Anolis sagrei: one gene and its partners. The protein of the gene in region 2 purifies or fractionates together with the protein of the main gene of each other region. This does not show direct contact. Links are inferred from orthologs where the notes say so. Each region holds a gene or a part of one and is shown on either strand. Other genes may lie near its edges. The genes, in order: CEP97, KIF24 and CCP110.

The links.
Region 1: the proteins of KIF24 (region 2) and CEP97 purify together in Homo sapiens (co-immunoprecipitation; 4 studies listed by BioGRID and IntAct, with this or other methods). This does not show direct contact. The link is inferred for Anolis sagrei from reciprocal best matches to the Homo sapiens genes KIF24 and CEP97.
Region 3: the proteins of KIF24 (region 2) and CCP110 purify together in Homo sapiens (co-immunoprecipitation; 4 studies listed by BioGRID and IntAct, with this or other methods). This does not show direct contact. The link is inferred for Anolis sagrei from reciprocal best matches to the Homo sapiens genes KIF24 and CCP110.

What each region holds. Positions count from the first base shown.
Region 1 is NC_090023.1:43,163,173-43,170,540, forward strand, and holds the start of CEP97 (centrosomal protein of 97 kDa), read left to right. Parts: upstream 1-4,361; 5' UTR 4,362-4,420; coding exon 4,421-4,484; intron 4,485-4,611; exon of another isoform or gene 4,612-4,873; coding exon of another isoform or gene 4,874-4,880; intron 4,881-7,102; coding exon 7,103-7,245; intron 7,246-7,368. Other genes in the region: RPL24 (large ribosomal subunit protein eL24), read right to left, coding at 251-314, 861-997, 2,210-2,320, 3,991-4,066, 4,203-4,207. UniProt on the Homo sapiens protein: Acts as a key negative regulator of ciliogenesis in collaboration with CCP110 by capping the mother centriole thereby preventing cilia formation. Required for recruitment of CCP110 to the centrosome.
Region 2 is NC_090022.1:298,187,421-298,195,309, forward strand, and holds the start of KIF24 (kinesin-like protein KIF24), read right to left. Parts: upstream 3,060-7,889; 5' UTR 3,005-3,059; intron 1-3,004. UniProt on the Homo sapiens protein: Microtubule-dependent motor protein that acts as a negative regulator of ciliogenesis by mediating recruitment of CCP110 to mother centriole in cycling cells, leading to restrict nucleation of cilia at centrioles.
Region 3 is NC_090034.1:25,650,493-25,657,925, reverse strand, and holds the start of CCP110 (centriolar coiled-coil protein of 110 kDa), read right to left. Parts: upstream 3,086-7,433; 5' UTR 2,848-3,085; exon of another isoform or gene 2,804-2,847; intron 1,895-2,803; exon of another isoform or gene 1,504-1,894; intron 1-1,503. Other genes in the region: GDE1 (glycerophosphodiester phosphodiesterase 1), read left to right, coding at 3,702-3,956, 6,627-6,802, 7,234-7,339.

The DNA of each region.
Region 1 (7,368 bases), on a different chromosome or scaffold from region 2:
GAGAAGCAGCTTGAAACATATTAGCAATGAATAAAAAGAATACAGAGAATGCAAATTTCCACATCAAATTATTACAAAACATATAGGAAACTGGCACTGAACCCTCAATTTTTATATTTGCATATTGTGGGTTGAAAAATCTAGATCTAAGCAGTATGTAATTATTTGTAAATACATTTGGGATTTTTTTAATGGAGAAAAGGAAAAAAGCACATGCAATTTTTAACATAAATCTCTGAAGAAGCATTACCTTTGTTGTGGAAGGTACAGTCTTCTTAGTTGCCTGCTTAGCCTTCTTTGCTTCCTTGGCAGCCCTGTTAATTATAATCACAGCATAACTCAATTCATACAACAAAATAAAGTAAAAGGGCACAGCAGAACATTGCAAGCTGCTGATAAAGCAATCCCATTCTGAACATGCACCAAAAGGAAAATAAACACTAACTAGCATAACTGAGATAGAAGCCAATTAGTGATATTTTGGCACTGATGCTGAAATTCTAAAACTCTTGGAGCCCTTAGAGAACATATTATTGTGGGAAACATCCCTGAATAACCTTCAAGTCTCCATTCAGTTTGTTTAGGTAAGAGAACGGAGAATACTCTTAAGTGCCATGAAACCAGTACAATACGGATACATCTCCCTCTCCATTTCAAACTTGGAAATCAGGCAGTAGAAAGGAAAAGATCCCATTGTATAGGATCACAATAACATTTTTTTACCAAGGCTAGTCAAAAGCTTCAGCATCATTTTAAAAAAATTACATTAATTTCAGTGTATCTTGTTTACACTGAATACAAAGAGGTAGCCATGGAATGGTAAATAAATGCAAACCAAGAAATATGTGGTAACTGCTCACCTAATAGCCTGTTCCCGTTGAGCTTTTCGCACCTCAGGCTTTTGATTCCTCTTGGCCATGATTTCAGCCAAAGAGGCTCCTGTGATGGCTCTATGGCCCTTGACAGCGCGGCGAGTACGTTTCTTTTGTACTTCTTCCTGAAAAATGGAAAAAAAAAAGATGGAACATTAAATACTTTCTGAAGCCATGTGGAAGGAGTAAGTGCAATTTTTTGTAGGCCTCAAAGATTCTGCTCATATTTTAAGTTTCTACTTTCCTAACATACTGTACCTTAAATTAAAAAGCCTTGGTGGAAAAAATGCAACTATATGTGTAGAATATTTTTAGCACCATCTTTGAAAGCTGTTATAATTTTAATCATTTCCAGCAAAACTAAGCAACTACCTATTTAAAATCTTTGCTACAGTATTTATTGTGGAAAAACAAATCACAAAAATACCATCCTTGTTATTTTATATCTGTCTTTTAAAAAACATTTCTATAGTTGCTAAATGCAAACAAATCGGAACTAGGTGAAAAATCGGTGATACAACTCACTTCTATTTTGGTCTAAGCCAGTCCCAGTGTGTTTCTCAATTTTATGCTCTGTCATTTTATCTGATATTTCTAACTTGCTACCTACTTTCAACATTTCAACAAAAATTAAATCAATTTTGGAAAAGCAAACTATAGAGAAACCTCTATATTGCTGGAAGGATAAACATCTTAGTATTATCTGAGGTAAAGTGAGAGTGATTCAATGGCTGCCTTATGTATGAATTGATCAAAACTGAAATCCCTTCAATAGGATGCATAGAAATTCACGGAGCCTAGAACCATGACAATATATATTTAGGTTGTTTGTTCCATTTTTTGAGACGCACACTTAAACTACTTATCTGGAACCAAACCCTAACAAGTTCAACTTATTTGTAAGTAGAAAACATGGGACTGTGCTGAAAAGCCCTTGTTCCTGCTTTTAAAAGCTAACTACAGATGTTTAAGGAAACATCGGCCTATTAGTGCTAAACCGTTCTTCGAGTATTTCCAAACTATACTTGTCAACCTATACACATGCACTTCTGTCCTTTTCAAAAGCAGTTCAAGGGAAGCATAAATGTCAACAAAATGCTAAAACCAGTTCTCTAGGAAAGGGATTATGAAAGATTAAAGCCTCTATCTTAACAGATCATGCTACATCCCTGGATACAATACAACACAAGAAATATTTAAAAAGTTAAACCAAAATAGTAATTTGTAATTTATTAATGCCATTTAATAAAGCAATACTGTAAGTGATTAGAAATGCAATGCAACTATGATAATTTTTCAATTTCAAAGACTCAACAAAGATATTACAACATATTTACCGACTGCCCTTTCTTGTGCTTCCGCCTGTATAGAACAGTCCAGTTGATCTGGCGGGGGTTTCTCTTTGAGAGGAAGGCAGACTCACATTTTGCATTCAAAAACTGGAAAACCTGGAACATCAGATGATTTTTTAGTCAAGTTTGGAAACATCTAACCACAGACACAGCTCATATTACCATAAAAGTTCAAATACTGTCAAATTAAGTTCTTTCTGATAAATCATGTAAGCCACTTGTATGCCCCATTAAAAACCTTACAGGTCCACACCAGCTTCTATCACATATGTAAACTTTGTGTATGGTGAGAGATGGACTAGAAAGCTCTTTCACAGGATCTAAAATATTATAAATCCAAAAAATGCAGTGACGCTAAGGTCTCAGATTACTGGAACCACTACAGGATGAATACCACTTCAGTGCTCCAAAATGCAGTAGGTGGCTGAGATACTGGGTGCATCTACAAATTGACACTTTTAAGAGCTTTGGCTCAATGCTGTGGGATCCTGGGATTTGTAGTCTGAGAGCACAGCACACTTTGCAGAAACAGCTTGTAAAACTACAACTCCCATGACTCCACAGCATCATGGCATGGCATTGAAATCGTGTCAAACTATGTAGACGCACCCAATAACAATTTCAGGATGATTTTATTTATATCATTTCATGCACACAGTGCTGCACAGCCTCTTAAACCACTCAGCTACTGAACTTGCTGATCGAAAGGTTGGCAATTCAAATCTGTGGAGCCGGGTGTGCTCACACTGTTAGGCCCAGCTTCTGCCAATCTAGCAGTTTGAAAAAATGCAAATATGAATAGATCAGGAATGGGAAAACTTTGGCCCTCTAGGTGTTTTGGAGTTCAACTGGCTGTTATGAATTGTAGGAGTCAAAGTCCAAAACACCCAGAGGGCCGAAGTTTTCCCATGCCTGGAATAGATCAAGAGGTACCACTTCAGCGGGAAGGTAACGGCACTTCATGCAGTTATGCCGACCACAAGACCTTGGAGGTGTCTACGGACAACGCCAACTCTTCGGCTTAGAAATTGAGATGAGCACCACACCCCAGAGTCAGACACGACTGGACTTAATGTCAAGGGGAAACCCTTACCTTTACTTATTTCATGCACAAAAACTACTCTAATTAGAATTAATTTTAGGCTCTGTGTCAGAAGTGTATATGAAACACAACTGGACCCTCATCTTTTGATTTGGACCCCATCTCCAAAGTATCTCTTTATGTAAATACAGCAGTCTCGCTTATCCAACATAAACGGGGCAGCAGACCATTGGATAAGCGAAAATGTTGAATAAGTCGGGATCAAGGAAAAGCCTATTAAATGTTGAATTATGTTATGATTTTACAAATTAAGCACCAAAAATATGTTTTATAACAAATCAACTGAAAAAGCTGTTCAATACATGGTAACATAATATAGTAATTACTGTATTTACGAATTAGCACCAAAACATCACAATATATTGAAACAACTGTGGATCTCGGTGGGAGACTTAACAGTGTTGGATAATGCAGAACACTGGATGAGCGAAGGTTGGATAAGCGAGACTCTACTACAGGCATCCTCAAACTGCGGCCCTCCAACTCCCAATTCCCTAACGAGCTTGTTCAATGGTCAGGAATTCTGGGAGTTGGAGGCCCAAACAGTTTGAGGATGCCTGCTCTACTGTATTAAGGGTGCAGGGAACTCTAGGACCAGGCCCCAGAGGATAACAAGGCCCCATTGTATGATTTCGTCGGCTCCTTGGCCCATCTTTTCTCTTGCCTTGCCATCTGTCCTCGCGTAGCGTCGGCCGTGGCCCGGGTAGATCTTGTACCCACTGAAGCTGCATAGCTCGACCCTGAAGCGCGAGAAAGGAAGAATGGGGAAGCGTCAGCGAGCGACAAAGCGCGGAACTCACAACCTTTCCCGCCCCACCGAGCCCCCAAACCGGAGGATGGCGCCGGATTAAACACCGCCTCATCCCGGTTCCTTACTTCATGATGGCAGCCGGCTCGCCTCGGAGGCAACTCCAGCGGCGAAGAGAAAGAGAGGATCATGGGAAAACGCCTTCTTATACTCCCCGCGCGGGGCACGACGGGAAACAAGGAGGTGCTCATTAATAGCCGGAAATATTTTTTTTCCGCCGAGTGGATTTGACCAATCAGCGTCCGGCGCCGGCGCGGTTGCCTAGCGTTGGGAGCAAGCGGGAAATATGGCGGCGGCGACCGAAGGGAAGAGGCCTGAGGCGTCGAAGGCAAGAATGAGCGGCAAGGAAGGTGCGCCTCTCGGTTCAGGATTGTGTGCTGTCGCTTTGCGAGGAAGGCAAAGCGGGGAAAGGCGGCAAAAAGTACCCCGGCAGGGCTGTTTGGCTTTTCAGCAGGTCCCCCCGCGGGGCCTTGTGGGAGTTGTAGTCTTTGTCCTCGCTCAACTTGGTTGGCGTGTTAAGTGTGTTGTTAGGGCTGGACTACAAATCCCAAAAGATCTTGCGCAAGGCCGTTGTCTTTCTCTGCTTTGAGAGGATTAGGAATAATGTGACAAAGGCAATTTGGAAGGAGAACAAGGAAGCTCTGTCTGCTGTGAGGGGGGGGAAAGCAAAGCCCCTTTGTCTCTAAATCTTCCTTCCTTTGCGGCTTCTCTCTATTCGTGCATATAAAGTGGATTTCTAATGGCAGGTGCGGTCGACCATATAAGTGTAACAGACAGTGGTTGGGAGGTGTTTCTGTCATTCCTTTTTAAAAATATCTAGCTGTTTACCCCTCTGTATGATGATCCTGATACTGGAGGTAAATGGGGTGGTTAGAATGAGGAACATTTCTGTGGAACAGGCTCTTTATCTGACTTATTTCTGCTTTGAGTGCCAAGACTGAGGCCTTCTACTATTATAGTAATAACAATAGAGCTTTGAATACTTGGAAAAATGCAGAAATGTCTGTATTTGAATGTTAGGCAGTCTTGAGGAATCAAACCAAAAATCTTGAGCAACTTTTTCGCAAAGAAACAACCTGTCTTCGCAGAGAATGGTGTTGCAGAAAATGCAGGTTTTGGGTTGTGAGTTTTCTGGGCTGTATGGCCATGTTCCAGAAGCATTCTCTCCTGACGGTTTGCCCATATCTATGGCAGGCATCCTCAGAGGTTGTGAGGTTTGTTGGGAACTAGGCAAGTGGGTTTTATATATCTGTGGGAGAAAGAACTCTTGTCTGTTTGAGGCAAGTGTGAATGCTACAATTGGCCACATTGATTAGCATTTAATGGCCTTGCATCTTCAAAGCTTTGGCCGCTTCCTGCCTGGGGGAATCCTTTGTTGGGAGGTGATTGCCTGGTTCTGTTTCTTGTCTGGGATTTCAATTGAAATCCCCAATCATCTGGACAATTTCAACAAAAAGGAAGAAACCACGGAAATGAAAAAACAAAAACTGGCTTCCAATATTAAAGAAACTCCAAAATCAAGAACAACACTCAGAAACAGGGGAATTCCAGACAAGAAATAATCAGGGCCAGTTAATTCTACTATACCACTGTTCTGCAAAATTATTAGTAATATTACATGAAATATACAATGGAATGCAGTATAATTTTATTGTAAAATAAATTGTGTTATAAAATAGTAAGGACAACGGAGTGTGTTTGAACATGCACAGAGTACCCATCCTCAGCTTCTGAACATTGAGATGTAGCCTTTTCCCTAAAAATATTAGAATTGGGGATAAAGTCAAAAGGTGTGGCTTTCTACCAGGTTTGGAGCATAAGCAGAGGCTTTTGGTTAAAAACTATATGAAGCATGCTGATCTGTGATTTAATTTTGCACTATTTGTTTCTAAAAATCCTCAATGCTTAGGAATGTGAAGTTATCAACCTATTTGCTACTATTCTCTATTCATAGAATAAACCATAAAGTTCAGTCCTATGCATGCCCATTGCCCACATAGGGCACATCTGCACTAACTATTCAATACAGTTTCAAATTGTTCTTCAAGAAAATGATTTCGGTGTACAGGAGATTATAAGAAGAGTGGAGGCCTTTAAAAGTGTTGTCAGGGGTTTTTTTTCTGCTGTCAGAAATTTAGAGACCCTTCCTTGACTCTCTAGGCCCCAGGTTTCTCATTTTAGTAAAATAAGCTTTCAGGTATGAAGAAAACTTATGGTATGTTTTGGTTATAAGAAGAAGAAAAAAAACCCTCTCAAGCTTATGTTTTAATCTGTATTGCAGTTTTGTATGTTTTTAACTGTTTATATGTTTTAGCTGTTTTATAATTTAATATGGTATGTTTATTGTTATGTGCATGATATTGCATTGAATTTTTGCCATAGTTTGTAGTACCCTTCGGGGTGAGAAGAACAGGGTAGAAATGGAGTAAAAAATAACATATTGTACTACATTTTCATATCAAAATTTAATAAACACCTTACTATCTCCAAGGAATGCATTCAGAACCACTTTACCATGGTAGATTAGCAACAGTGGCAACAACAGTTGGGTGGGGCTGTTCTGCAATAACAACAGCGAGAAACAAGTAGGAGAAGACAGGTATAGACCTTACTTTATTATGAAACTTTTCCTTGGTGTGTATTGAACACTCTTTGTCAGGAATATGAGACATTTCAAAGCACCTGGTGCATGTCACATATGCCGAATGTCATCTCAAAAAAACTCCTTAACTAAATAGCTGAATGGCACCATGTTGGTGAAGCATCGTTTGACTTAAAAGTTCCACCAAATGAGTTGACATTCCAGAAAGGCAGACAGTTGAATGAGCCAGACCAAACACAAACCATTTTTAGGTGTTAGAATCTGGGAAGCAGGTGACATGTGTTTTTTAACACTGGTGCATGCAACAGTATGTAACATGACCATTTTTGAGACTGATACACTTTGATCTTTCCTCTATTCTCATAGGTTCATTAGTTAATTGGTCAGGTCAGGGTTTACAAAAGTTGGGACCCACTTTATCCTGCGATGCTGATGCACATACTTTGGTTCTGGATAAAAACCAGCTAACTAAATTGGAGCACCTGGAGAATTTCAGGAACCTGCTACAGGTTAGTTGTCTCTGTGATAGAAACATGCCATTAGCCTTTTTACAGTTGCACCCCCAATGTTTTGGTATATGTTCTTTTTGTAGATTTTCAGTAAGTTTCATATTGAAGCTATGCCAACTTTAA
Region 2 (7,889 bases):
TGGCAGGAGATTGTACTCAATGATCCTTGAGGTCCCTTCTATTTCTATGATTTTATGAACTTCTCCTCCCAAATACAACAAGGGAAGTACAGCAGGAAGTTTCTCCCTCCAAGATCCATATTCCTGCTTCTTTTTCCACCTGCTGGTACACACAAGAGGCACTAACAATGTGCTCATATCAATATTTGTTAAAGCCACATAATTTGATTATATATTCATGAGACAATATCAAAAGTTATACAAAAAAGAGACACAATGTTCAAAGCTGTAACCATTCCATACTTTGACTAAAAGGTATCAGTTCCTCCAAACATACAGTCCTGCAGCAAAGCAGGCTTCCCAATAAATGGGTTCATAAGTTATGATGGCGCAATGGGTGGGGATCTGGGAGGAATTTGTCGCCCAGATTTAAACTTTGGCTTGAACAGCAGCTGTTGTATTTGCATGTGCATGCATGAACTAAGAGATCACATAGTAGAACAAGAAAGTCAAACTGAATGGCTGGCTGGCTGGTCCTATTTGACCAAACACATGAAAACACTTCCTTCACTGACTGAGAGAACTGGGTTCAATTTGCAACTTCATACTGCAAACCTATGTATTAGAGTCATACATATTTTCAGTGAGGATACAAGAAGAAACTCAGCAGCCATGTTTAGGAAGAAGAAGAAGAAGAAAGCCAAGACAATGACAGCAGAGGAATCAATCCTGTATACACCTGATGGGGTCAAAACTCATTTGATTTATCTGTCTTGAATTTCCCACCTTTCAGATGACCCTAGATTCTAATATTACGTTTTCACTATCCACGTTCATCAAACTAGGCATAGTTTTATAACTTTCTATGTCCTCGAGCTCACAAGATGTGATACAGGACAAAAGTGGGTGAAGAAGAAAAGCATGTCTCCAAATCACAAGTTTACAACTGATCTTCTAATGTGCAGATGACTATCACTTGATGCTCACAGGGAATTACTCTGGTTTTCTTGCAGCCTACTATACTGTTTACAGTTAATGAAGGAATGTGCCTGCTGATTCAAATCGTCAAGTTTTTCAGTTACATGCTCAATTCAACACATACTAATTTAGTCTTTTCATTCAGCATAAGTGCTGTAAATTGTAAAGGCAGGTGGAAAACACTTGTTTTAAAAAAGCAGAAAATTTTATTGTGGTTCATGCTCACGCTGTATTTAGAATTTTGCAGATAAACATTTGCCTTTACTACCTTCAACTCAAAAAATGTAGTCAATTTATCCCCTTTCTGGCCAATTTAATCCATTTCCCTTGTAAATCCTTATCCATTTTCCAATCACTCTTTCCCTATAACTTTAGCTGATGATCTCACTGAACAACCCTCCGCACCACAACTGATGCAACAACTGCTTTGAGACAACAGCTGTTGCAGGGTATGAAAACGTCTCATTTTCATGGTGCATGCATAAAATAAATTTGTTATTCTGGGTGGGTGATTATTTTAAAGTTGTGCATGATTCTTTCCAGTAAGCAATGCCACCAGAAATGCAAATCTGTTTCTATATAAAGGAAATGTGTTGTTATATACATAGGTACAACTTCATTCCTTGTGTTTTGGTTGCTGTGTTAGTGGCTTCTGTTACATGGCAACCAGTTTCTGCCTTTCAAGTTAAAGCAGAGGGGGGTGGTTAGACTTCACCAAGAGCTTCCTGCTTCAGCTTGAGCTGAGAGAGGGACATTCCAAAGCCCTAAAATGTCCTCTGAGCTATGGCATTGGGAATTATGCCTATGGCAGGTCCAGAAAGTGAACAACCAAGAAAGTATGGAGGACATGTTGCACTTCATTGATTGCTGCATTTCATTTTCTTTGCCTACAGTGAAAAGCAGGATGCAACACCAAGACTGTATGGTAAAGCACACAATTCACTACCAAGACCCTAAAAAGGTTTTCCGACCATTCCAACTGCCACAGCCCTGGCCCAGGAAAGGAGATGCAAGCACAGCTCCATGTCCCACAAGCAAATGAAAGGCCATCCACCCTTCATACCAACTGCCCCTGTTGTGGGCTCAGAAAGAACAGGCAGCACAGCTCCATCATGCTAGGCCCAGGAGGAGAAGAACCCCCCCCCCCCCAATTCCAACTGCCATAGCCCAAGCCTCAGAAGAAAAGGAAGATCAGGCATGGGTCCATAATGCTTAAGGCCTCCATCCATCCTAACCGCCACAGTCTTGGTCCCAGAGGGAGAGAAGCAGCATCAGCATCTGCTAGACTTAATTCCCTCCTCCACTTCCATCCTCTTTCTGTGTGCATCCTGCTTTCAGACCACTTATGGGATGAAACATTGCTGCTTGGAAGTTTCAGTGAGACTCTTTCCTAATATCTTGTAGAGTCTAAAGGAGGTGAAAATTCTTCAACACAGAGAATTAGCCCCTTTGGCATGCTGAAAGCCCATCGCTGCAGTAAATCCAGTTGGAAGCTGAATAACAGAATAACAGTACTCTTCTCAAGAGATTCAAAAAGCATTTTGCTCTGCCTTGCAAGAAAGTTTAGTCAAGGTGGAAAAGCTCAGAATCTAATTTGCACCCCAAAGACATAAAAACATTACATGAAAGTAGTAAAGGAACAGGACCGCCAATTCGTTCATTGCAATCTCCCTTCTCATTTCAAGGAAAGTGGAGAACCAAAAGCCAAGGATCCTCTCAAGGTATAAAGAAAAAGAGAGATTCTGGTACTCTCACTGGTATTCCACACCAAACCAGATAGAAATATGAAAAATAATTCTGAAGCCCTCTTCATTTCCAACTGTACGAAAACTGTATACTCAGAGAGAAGCTAATTTCACCGCAGCATGGTCTTGTCTGGAAAATACATTGTCTACAAACATTGTAACATCCCCATCAGTGTAATTAGTTTGTTTGCATCTATTCTAAAATGTTGACACCTGCACAATAGCTCAAGTGTTAAATGTCTGTGTAGCAAAGATTCTGCACGTGAAACAAGCTAGGCAAATGCAATGAAATGAGCACTTACTTATTACATTTTTATTCTCTCTTTCCTCCCAGGAGCTTGGAATGGCATCCACATTTCCTACCACCCATGTCAGCTTCAGAAAAATCTTGTGAGTAAAGTAAGATAAAATGCCTGGATGAAAGTCAGCCAATAGTCTTAGGAACTTGAGAGCTGAAAGGGACCAAAAGGGTCAATCTAGTCCAAATCCCTGCTTCATGGTGGATTGCAATCTTCAGGAGCATCTCTCTACTTCTAGCCCGCCACTGTAGTGACTCCACCGGTCCTCAGGTATCACTCTATGATGGAAAGTAAAAGGCCCAGTAAGACTATAGGAAAACAGTGAGGTAATCTCTTCCCAAGTAATCATTGTAATCCCCACAGTAATCTCTGTTTAGAGGAGTCCAGCCCAACAGCATAACATAACAATAGTAAAATAAAACATAAGGAAGTCAGTGCGTAGACCTGAGCTGGGATTTATGTCTGTGCCAATCCAATTAGTAGTGCAGAACTACCCACTTTAAGAAAAATAAAAAGCTTATGTGCTTTGCAGCAGCAAAACCTCACCTTAGAATCTAGGGTGACAAGCTTCATTTTAGACCTTAAGATATGGGCCAAACCGCAACCCAGTGTCTGCACCTAATCCAATAAAGGCAACAAACAACTTGGATCTGGAAATTCACAATTTAAATCCATGAAATAGCCTGGGAAACATCCTGTTAGTGACTTACACATTCATAGGTCTGGCCTACATGTATGTCACCTGTTTTGGGTGGGAGGAAGAGGCAATTCTCTTCACCTATCAAGTCCTAAGAGGGAAACACCGCCAATGCTTTATAACAAGGAGGGAGGGGGTAATTCAGATATGGAAGAATTGGTGGCTCTTGTTCTCCAAGGAAAAGGAGGACACTTTCACTGTAGCCCCTTCTCCATAGCTGAGATCAGATACTTCCTCCTCTGAATGATCTCCTTCCTCCCACATCTCTCAATCACTGTAACAGCAGGATTTTCAGAGCTGCTGGGATGGAGGAATCACCCAAAAATGAGCAGGCGGTGCATTGTACTCTACCTGCTCAGTGCTCTCTCCCAGCCTAATGTCTTTCCTGGAGCTGCAGTAGAAATGTTCAGAGGCAGCAGGAATGAATACCCCGCAACTTGCAGAAGCTCTAACCAGCCTAGTTGACCATGAAGACTTCTGAGAACTACAGCCCAAGGACAACAGGAGGATCACGATTCCCTAACACAGTTCAGGTTTGCCTTTATTGATGGCCATGCATCACTGAATTCTAGCATCTTCCGTGGTACCAATCACCTTACTTTGTCTGCTACTGGTGGGGCCAGTGTATCCCTCCAGGTCACAATTCTTCACAGCCTGGTGACATCCCATCTAGATTACTGCACTGCACAAGATTTCTCTTTGGAAGGTAATTTGGCATAGCTGCTCTTGGTTCAAAATTCACCGGATTATTGAGTGGAACTAGGTGAAAGGAAGACAGCAGTGATGGCTCCTAGCCAAATCCAAATTCCTGGCATTAAAGTTTAATGACTGGCTTTTTCTTATATAAAGATCTCTTCTAGTGAAATAGAAGAGTGAAATAGACTAAAGAGCAGATCTTCCATTATAAGGCATTATAAGGCCAATGCCACCTCACACTTTTAACTGGATTATTTAAAGGGATTTCGAAGTGAGAACTGAGTGCATTATCTTTTTTGACAAAGCTCCTAAGGAAGAACTTAACTCCTAAAGTGCCCTAAAATACATGTGAACCACTGAGAGTGCAAATGCATTGCTCCTATTGTCAGTATTATCACATATTTATATATTGCCAAAAATGGCCTAGCACTTGATGAGTTCAACTACCCAAAACATACACAAGCCACTCTAAACACCTTTGCAGAAGCATACAAAAAACTTGGCCTTCCACTGAACACCAAGAAAACCAAAGTGCTATTTCACCAAAAGGCACCAGCCAATCCGTTTGCAATGCCAGAAATACAACTTTATGGTGTAACGTTAGAAAACTTTGACCATTTCCGCTACCTTGGCAGCCACCTCTCCAGAAAAGTCAACATCAACGCTGAAATACAACACTGTCTGCTTTGCTTTGCAAATGCAGAATTTTCTCAAATGAAGCAGAGAGTGTTTGAGGATCGAGACATCTATTGGGAGAACAAGATACTTGTTTATAAAGCTATGGTCCTACCAACCCTGTTATCATAAAATCATAGAATAATAGAGTTGGACAAGACCTGGTGGGCCATCCAGTCCAACTCCATTCTGCCAAGAAGCAGGAAAATTGCATCCAGCCTCTGTTTAAAGTCTCCAAAGGAGCCTCCACCACGCTCCGGGGCAGAGAGTTCCACTGCTAAACAGTTCTCACAGTCAGGAAGTTCTTCATAATGTTCAGATGGAATCTCCTTTCTTGTAGTTTGAAGTCCTAGTCTCCAGGGCAGCAGAAAACAAGTTCGCTCCCTCCTCCCTATGACTTCTTCTCAGCCTTCTCTTCTTCCGGCTAAACATGCCCAGCTCTTTAAGCTATACATTATATTTATACATTTATTATACTATTTCCCTTTGTATTTTTAAGATTATTTTTACGATATATATATTAATTATACATTACATTATGCTATTTCCTTCTGTATATTTATAATGTCTTTTACTCTCTCTCTCTCTCTCTCTCTCTCTCTCTATATATATATACACACTAGATACTAGAGACAAAGTGGAAGTCCTTTGGCCACATCATGAGGAGACAGCAAAGCCTAGAGAAGACAATTATGCTGGGGAAAGTGAAAGGTAAAAGGAAGAGGGGCCGACCAAGGGCAAGATGGATGGATGGCATCCTTGAAGTGACTGGACTGACCTTGAAGGAGCTGGGGATGGTGACTGCCGACAGGGAGCTCTGGCGTGGGCTGGTCCATGAGGTCACGAAGAGTCGGAAACGACTGAACGAATGAACAACAACAACAACAACAACAACACACACACACATATATATAACGCATTATATTATTCTATTTCTGTGTATGTGCATATCACAGAGTAATAGAATAATAGAATCAAAGAGTTGGAAGAGACCTCATGGGCCATCCAGTCCAACCCCATTCTGCCAAGAAGCAGGAATATTGCATTCAAATCACCCTTGACAGATGGCCATCCAGCCTCTGTTTCAAAGCTTCCAAAGGAGGAGCCTCCACCACACTCTGGGGCAGAGAGTTCCACTGCTGAACGGCTCTCACAGTCAGGAAGTTCTTCCTCATGTTCAGATGGAATCTCCTCTCTTGTAGTTTGAAGCCATTGTTCCCTTGCGTCCTAGTCTCCAGGGAAGTAGAAAACAAGCTTGCTCCCTCCTCCCTGTGGCTTCCTCTCACATATTTATACATGGCTATCACATCTCCTCTCAGCCTTCTCTTCTTCAGGCTAAACATGCCCAGCTTCTTAAGCCGCTCCTCATAGGGCTTGTTCTCCAGACCTTTTATCATTTTAGTCGCCCTCCTCTGGACACACTCCAGCTTGTCAATATCTCTCTTGAATTGTGGTGCCCAGAATTGGACACAATATTCCAGGTAAAGTGGTCTAACCAAAGCATATGTAAATATTATATACACACACACACACACATATACACACATATACACACAAAGAGAGGGGAGGTATAATAAAACAAAAACTCAGTAATATAATTATAAACCAAATGATCTAGGTAAAATTGGAAGAAAAGCAATTATATATATAAATCCAGATCAATTTAGTATTACCTCTCACTCATTTCCTTCATAAACGGCTTGTCACCTTGGCGACAGGAAAGCAGAGGCCTAGTCTTGTCAACAAAAAAGAAACAGGCTCGAAATAACTTGTGAATACAAAGATACGTGAAGGAAGGCCGCAAACAAGCAAGACTGAGGCGAACTCGAGAGGCGCCGCCTAGGCCGCGCGTTTCCAAGGCAACGCCGCCAAGCGTGGCGTTCAAAGCCTCGCGCCCGCACGCCGCGCCGGCGACGTCCACAAAACCACCCAATGGGAATCCAGGAAGCGAAAGGGGCGGGGCTACGTCTGGCCAATCAAGAAAGCGGACGTAAAGTCTCAGTCCCCGCCCCTTTATTCGCTTCTTCCGTCCCTCAAGTTTAGCTAGACTTGTCATCCTCCGTCCAATAAGGAAAGAACCTCACCTTTTCCCTCTGATTGGTGGATCCGCCTGTCAATCGTAGTTTGAAATCTAATCAAAGCTCCGTTTTTATTACACCGCTCCGCCCTCGCTGCTCGGTCATGTCAAAGGCAGGCAACTGTTGCTAGGGCAACCACATAGCTCCCCCCAATTGGTGAATCTGCCTGTCAATCTTAGTTTGAAATCGAATCAAAGCTCTGTATTTACTACACCGCTCCGCCCTCGCTGCTCGGTCACGTCAAAGGCGGGCAATTGTTGCTAGGGCAACCACGTAGCTCCCCCAATTGGTGGATCTGACTGTCAATCTTAGTTTGAACTCTAATCAAAGCTCTGTTTTTAATACACCGCTCCTCCCTCGCTGCCCTGTCACGTAAAGGCGGGCAGCTGTTGCTAGGGTAACCGTCTTGCCTCATTCTGATTGGATGCAACGATTGCAGGGCTGGTTGACACGGAGATTGACAAGCGTGTGGACCAATCAGGAAGCTCCATTGCAGTCAGGCTCTGTGCAGGTCTTTCCTTTTAGTCTCTAAAGGAGGAAACAGCCTGATTGGGTGAGTTAAGTCATTTTCTTAAAATCCCACATTTAGTGTGCAATAAATGAAATATTATTTAGTGTATTTATTTCTATATTAAATATTATTGGATTTCATAGGTTAAACTTGCAGTTTAAAATCAAACTATCAAAATATTGTTATGATTAATATAATAACAAATATTATATAATAATAAATATTATTATG
Region 3 (7,433 bases), on a different chromosome or scaffold from region 2:
ACCAGGGGACATCAATTACTGCCGATAAAGATGTCCGTACTCCAATATAGAAAATCAGGTCTAAAGTATGGCCGGCCCGATGAGTGGGGCGAGTCTTGATTAATGAGAGCCCCAAAGTTTCCAAGGTTAGTACTAGGTCCTTAGTTACTGATGAGGATGACGGTGCCTCGGCATGTACATTGAAGTCACCCAGGACAATAAGTCTGGGGAAACTCAGGGCCCAGTCCGCAACAAGATCTAATAGCTTAAGCAGACTCTCTCCCAGTGACCCCGGTGCACGGTAAACGACAAGAATGGCTAAGGATTCCCTACTGGCCAAGACCGCACCGAGACATTCGATGCCAGCTATCTTTGGAGTTGGAACAATTTTGATGGTTATCACCCAAAGAATAGAATAGAATAACTTTGTTGTCATTGTACATCGTACAACAAAATTAAATGCCATCCCCAATGCACATTATATATGTAGAATTACAAAACAAGACACCCATCCTTCCACATTCTAATCACTATCGCACACTCCCAAATGCCACATCAGCTCCTAGAAAGCTACGGAAAAGTGGTCTATATGCAAATATAAATCATGTTGAGACTGCTATGGTTGCCTTACTGGATGATCACAGTCTCAACACTGACAAGGCATTTGCGTCCCTGTTGGTGCTTCTAAGATCTCTCAGCGGCCTTTGATACCATCAACCAGGGTATTCTTCTGGAACGCCTGGGAATCCATCAGAGGCAAGGTGCTGCAGTGGTTCCGATTGTTCCTCTCAGGCAGGTTCCAGATGGTGGAGCTTGGGGATAGCTGCTTCTCCCAAAAAAGGAGCAGTTTTCTGGCGTCCCACAAGGGCTCATTCTATTCCCAATGCTCTTTAATATTTGCATGAAGCCACTGGGAAAGATCATCCATAGGCATGTGGTGGGGTGTTATCAGCATGCTGAGGACACCCAAATATATTTCTCCATGCCCTCCAAAAGAGCTTCAGCTAAGGATAGCGTGTCTCCTCTGAATGAATGCCTGGAGGAGGTAATGGGCTGGATGAGGAAAAACAAACTGAAACTGAATCCAGACAAAACAGAGGTGAGCATATTACACTTATCCTAAAGTCACTCCACAGGCTGCCAATTAGTTTCTGGGCAAAGTACAAAGTGTTGGTATTGACCTTTAAAGCCCTACATGGACTGGTATGTTCAGCAAAGGAAAAGAGTGATCCTCTCACCACTGCAGGAGTCTATTGCATACCAAGCAGGTGTGGACAAAAAGTCTACATAGTAATGGTAAACGTTTCCCCTGACATTAAGTCTAGTCGAGTCTGACTCTGGGGGGTGGTGCTCATCTCCATTTCTAAGCCGGCATTCTCTAGACGCTTCCAAGATCACGTGGCTGGCATGACTGCATGGAGTGTCGTTACCCTCCCTTCGGAGCTGTACCTATTAATCTACTCACATTTGCAAGTTTTTAAATTGCTATGTTGGCAGAAGCTGAGGCTAACAACGAGAGCTCACTTGATCCATGGATTCGAACCACCAACCTTCTTGTCAGCAAGTTCTGCAGCTTAGCGGTTTGACCTGCTGCGCCATCACAGCCCCATGAAGTCTACATAGAGACCTCCAAACACAGCAGCATTACTCAGACACGAATCAAGGAACACAAAAGGCACTGCAGACTAATTCCACCAGAGAAGACAGCCATAGCAGAGCATGTGATGAACCAACCTGGACATAAATGTAATCTGAGAACACAGAAATGCTGTGCCACGCTGACAACCACCATGTCGGACTACGCAGAGAAGCCACTGAAATCCACAATAAACACATGGACAATTTCAACAGAAAGGAGGAAACCATGAAAATGAACAAATTCTGGTTACCAGTATTGAAAAAACACCAGAATCAAGACAGTAAATAAAGAATAACTTTTTAAAAAACAGGGGGACTCCAGACAGCAAACAATCAAGTGCCAGTTTTTTGGGGGTTTTTTGTCGTGTCAGTAGTGACTTGAGAAACTGCAAGTCGCTTCTGGTGTGAGAGAACTGGCTGTCTGCAAGGATGTTGCCCAGGGGATGCCCGGATGTTTTGATGTTATTGCCATCCTTGTGGGAGGCTTCTCTCATGTCCCCACATGAGGAGCTGGAGCTGATAAAGGGAGCTCATCCACGCTCCCTGGATTCGAACCTGTCGGTCTTCAGTCCTGCCAGCACAGGGGTTTAACCCACTGCACCACCGGGGGCTCCTGTAAGTGCCAGTTAATACCTCACAAACAGAGAATGTCCTCGGGCAACAACTACCAGGCTTTGCAGGTGCAAGGCTTTTCAATGCTAATCAAAACTGGCTAATTGCAACATTCACACTTGCTTCAAGCGGACAAAGGCTCTTCCTCCCACCGTGGACATGATTCCACAGATATAGATACACTGCACCTGCCTCCGAGTGTGCATTAGCCACAGATGCAGGCACAACGTCAGGAGAGAAAGCTATTGGAACATGGCCTGACAGCCCGACAAACTCACAGCAACCCAAGGGAATTACTATTTCCAATTAGACATTGATCACCCAGGCACAAAAACCAGTGTGATTCACAAAAAGCCCCAACCAAACAACTGCTACTTCTAATATTCATGATTCCAAAAGGATAAAAAAGGGGCCCGGCGTTTATATTATTAGGTATCCTCATCGAATAGGAGGCTGAAACCTCCATTTGGGCCTAGAAGTTCCTCCGTTCTTTGCACACGCCACGAGCAGCCCGTCATCTTCATTTTCTTCTAAAAGCATGTATCGTTAGCTCTGAAACGGTTCCGCCATGTACCTCGTCTCGTCAAAGCTCCTTCCTTCGTGTCTAGGGCCACTCACCGTGAGGGCGTCGCTCGCTCTCCCCGCCTTCCTGGTTTCTGCTCCTCGCGCCTTGTCTCTAGGTTACCGAAACCGGAAGTCGGGAAAGGGAAGCTCCGCTTCTTCCGCCTTAAGCGCGATGGCCTGCTGGGAGTTGTAGTTTGTGGCAAGATGACGCTGCAGTGCGCCTTGGGGCTTACTCTACCGCCATGAACTTGGCCTGAACCGTTGCTAATAAAATAGGAGTAGTAGTAGTAGTAGTAGTAGTAGTATCAGTGATATGAAAAATATCAGATTATAACAATATAAAAAGATAGCAAAATAACATCATAATATGATCTGAAAAGAGCAAATGGTAATATTAAGAAACATAAAAAATAGCTAATGATAATGATAGTGTGTGATAACAATATGAAGTAATATGAAAAAATAGCAAATAATAATGAAGGGAGACGCGCCCGAAAGCTCGGCTCCCTATTGGCTGAGGACGGAAGGGGCGCCGCGCGGCGATTGGCTGGCTCTTGGGACTTCAACTCCCAGAAGCCTTCGCCAGCTTCGCGAACAGCGAGGAATTCTGGTAGTTGAAGTCTCGAGGGTAAGCGATGACGGCTGAGGTGGGAAGCAGGTTCAAATGGATTGAAGAGAGACACGCCTCAGAGCTCGGTTCTTTATTGGCTGAGGTCGGCAGCGATTGGGAGACGCTACGTGATGATTGGCGGTCGCCGGCATGGCGCCGCGCGGTGATTGGCTGAGGCCCTCGCGCCGCTGCGATTGTGTGTTGGCGGCGGATCACTTCCGGGTTCGCCTCAGTCGCCTCCGCGGCCGCGCGGGGAGAAGCAAGTCTCCCCGGCGCTCCTGCCGCCGCCGCCGCCGCCATGTTCTGCTACTGCGAGGGCCTGTTGGCGGCCTTCTCGGTGCTGTTAATGGCGGCGCTGGCGCTGAGCCGGAGCGCGACGCTGTCCTGCCTCCTGACGGGCGGGGCCTACCTGGCGCTGCGGCTCTTCAGCTTGGAGCCCGTCCCCTTGGAGCGGGCCCGGCTGGTGGTGCAGCCCCGAGGGAACCCGGCCCGCGTGGCCCACCGCGGAGGAGGGCACGACGCGCCCGAGAACACCCTCGCCGCCATCAGGCAGGTCGGTGGGTCAGGCAGCAGGCGCCTTCAGGCCAGGGCCGACCTGTATTATTATTATTAGTATTATTATTATTAAACTTTATTTGTACCCCGCTAGCATCTCCCGCAGGACTCGATGCGGCTTACAAAGGCCAAGGCCTCAACAAACAATACAACAATACAAAACCTAGGCAAGTTAAAACAATTAAAGCCATCTAAAACAACAAGCAAAGAACAATCCACTAAGGCACAATAAAACTGGGCCGGGCCAGAGTAAGGGTACAAGGGTTAAAAGGGCTGATGTGACAGGTGGAAATGAGGCTTATGGGCGTGTGCAGTGTGCAGTGTGCGGCGGTCTTGGCTTTAATAAAGTGCTTGTGGGACTTGGTAATGGAGGTTTCCTATTCGGGAAAGGCACTTCGGAACAGCCAGGTCTTCAAGTTCTTTCTGAAGGCTGCCAATGTAGGGGCCTGTCTAAGATCTTTGGGGAGGGTGTTCCAGAGTCGGGGGGGGGGCACCACGGAAAAGGCCCTGTCTCGTGTCTCCACCAAACGCGCTTGCGACTCAGGTGGGATCACGAGCAGGGCCTCTCCAGATGAACGGAAAGAGTGTGTGGGTTCGTAGATGGAGATGCGGTCAGCTGTAGCCGGCAGGCTGTTAGGAATAGTGGGAGTTGAATTCCAAAACACCTGGGGGGAGGGCCGAAGTTGACCCATGCCTGCTGTATAACATGGACCAAAGTCTATCCGTCAGCACCACAAAGGCTGTTGCTAGGTGACGTGTCCCTCTACGAATGGCTGGAATGGCTGTTGCTAGGGGAAGTGGCCCTCTGACATGTTGCCACCCGGCCCTGCAATTCTCTTATCTCAGGTCTCTGCCGTAACTGTTATTACTATTGACTTGGGTTTTTTTATGAATGCAATATTTCACTTTTAAATATGTGTTTGCATATCTATTAACAGTTGTTTTCGGATCTTTATAATGAGCCGATTCAATCATGCAAACGTTGCTTTAGATCTAGATCCAGAGAAAAAAAGGGGAATACAAATATAAGACTAAAACACACTTTCCCCTTTCATATAAACACCTCAAAAAATGGGATAGAATCTGAGACATACACATAGCTTGTTTTTCTGTTGATGGAACTGGAAATATTTTGTTGTTATTATATTTATTTATACTCCGCTTTATCTCCCCAAAGGGGACTCAAAGCAGCTTGACATTAAAGCATTAGTAGACAATTTAAAATATACAGACATTGAAACAGAATTCAATACAAATAGCATTAAAAAAATTCACAATTGAAAATAGTATGCATCTCAGAATCGATGGTGCCTTAGAATTGATGAAATATGCCAATCACCACCACCACAACGAACCTTTTACATCTATATAAATAAAAATGTAATGTTTGTTTGTGGGATTAACATAACTCAAAAACCACTTGACGAATTGACACAAAATTTGAACACAATATACCTAACAGTCAAATGAGTGTCCATCACCCATAAACACACACGCACACAAAAAAACCCCAGAGGAACAGACTTAAAAATCCAAAAGAAAACACCATATATACGAATACACATAACACTCATACATATGTACATGCACACATTCACACACACATTCACGTAATATATATGCACAAACACACACAAAGATACCCATATACACACATACATATACATACACACATACATACATATACACATCTACATATACATGCACACACATATACATATCCGCATACATACATATATACACACAAATATGCATATAGACAAGCACACACATATACACAATCTGCATGTACACACATATATGCACTTATATATATACACACACATATATACACACACTAAACACATATACAGAGACTGGGCCACAGCATGTGGAAGGGGATGGCTTGTGTGTGTGTATAAACAGGAATGAAGAAAAAGCCACCAAGAGAGCACTGTTGCCATGAAGACATTATGAGGGAGGCCCCCTTCATAGTTGGAGAAGGGAGAACGAGGAGGGGAAGGAAGGAAGGAAAGGAAAGAGAAAAAGAAGGGAAAGGAAGAATGAGTGGGAGGAGGGAAGAGCCCTGTTGGCATTTGAGTTACAAAAAAAGAATATCAAGGGTGAGATGGATCCTTAAGAATGCTCTGAGCTTTCTTAAGACTGTGGGACTTATAAGGTTCTTCCAAAGAGGGGGGAAAGAGGGCAACCAATGATTCTCTGTACAGAAGTGGTGACCCTTTGGATCGCCTTCCTATCTGCCACTGTGCAGTTACCAAACTAGGCACAGATACAGTCAGTAAAATTGCATTTTACCACTTCCCCATCATTTCTGTACCTTGTATAGATCCTGTCGGGCCTCACAATTACCGTAATTTCAAAGTATGGATGAGCCTAAGCAGTTTTGAGATACGCAACAACTATCCTGCCCTCATTTATTTATTTATTGCATGCATCCATAACACTGTCTTCACAATCCCAGTCTCCATGGAGGACATGAACCAGCACCAAACCGTTTGGTAGGCCTGTCCTGATTAGAGAAATCGTTTGATTGATGGCATTGGCATAGATAGGTCATTTGTTCATTTGCATCATTTCCAGTGTCATGCTATCCAGATGTAAATTAAAATGTAAATCATGCATTCATATCCTTGTTCATGATTAAAGCAGGTTTTATTTTTTTATTAAGGCAGCTGAGAATGGAGCAACTGGTGTGGAAATTGATCTCGAATTCACTGCCGACGGCATTCCTGTCCTGATGCATGACAGCACCGTAGACAGAACTACGGACGGGTCTGGAAATTTACGTGATTTGACGTTTGCTGAGATTCGGCGATACAATCCATGCGCTAAGCACAGATTATGGTATGTGAAAAATGTATAGAACACCACCATTCATATCTTGGAAAATTGTTGTCTGCCTTCAAGTTATTTCTGACTTAGGCCTTGAAGAAAGGGTGAAATATAAACTATTTCTGCTTAAAGTCAGATCTGTTGTCCATCTCAGAATAAATAACTATAAGATGTATCCTTGTACACAAACGAGATAATATTGTTTGTCAGGGCGAGGAGGCTGTCCTTGAGAGCTTGAAGATTCTTCCCGTGGTTTTTGTGGAGTGTATTTTTAGATGCATCATGGCAATTCAGTGAAGCATTGTTCCTTTTTTTGGACCGGACATTTTCTTGCTTCTTGGCAGGGGTTTGGACTGGATAGCCCACGAGGTCTCTCTCAACTCTACAATTCAATGATTCTATGAATGCACATTACTGAAATATTCAACTTTTTTTTCTTACAGGAGGGATTATCGTGGAGAGAAAATACCGACACTGAAAGAAGCTGTTTTGGAAAGTATGCATTATGACCTTATCATCTACTTTGATGTTAAAGGCCATGCTGATCAGGTACCTCTTTGTTAGAATGCTTTAAACCTCATGTGCTTGTTGGACCTCACATGGTAGAGCTCACTTAACGTTGTACAAGATGGAGAATTTTCTT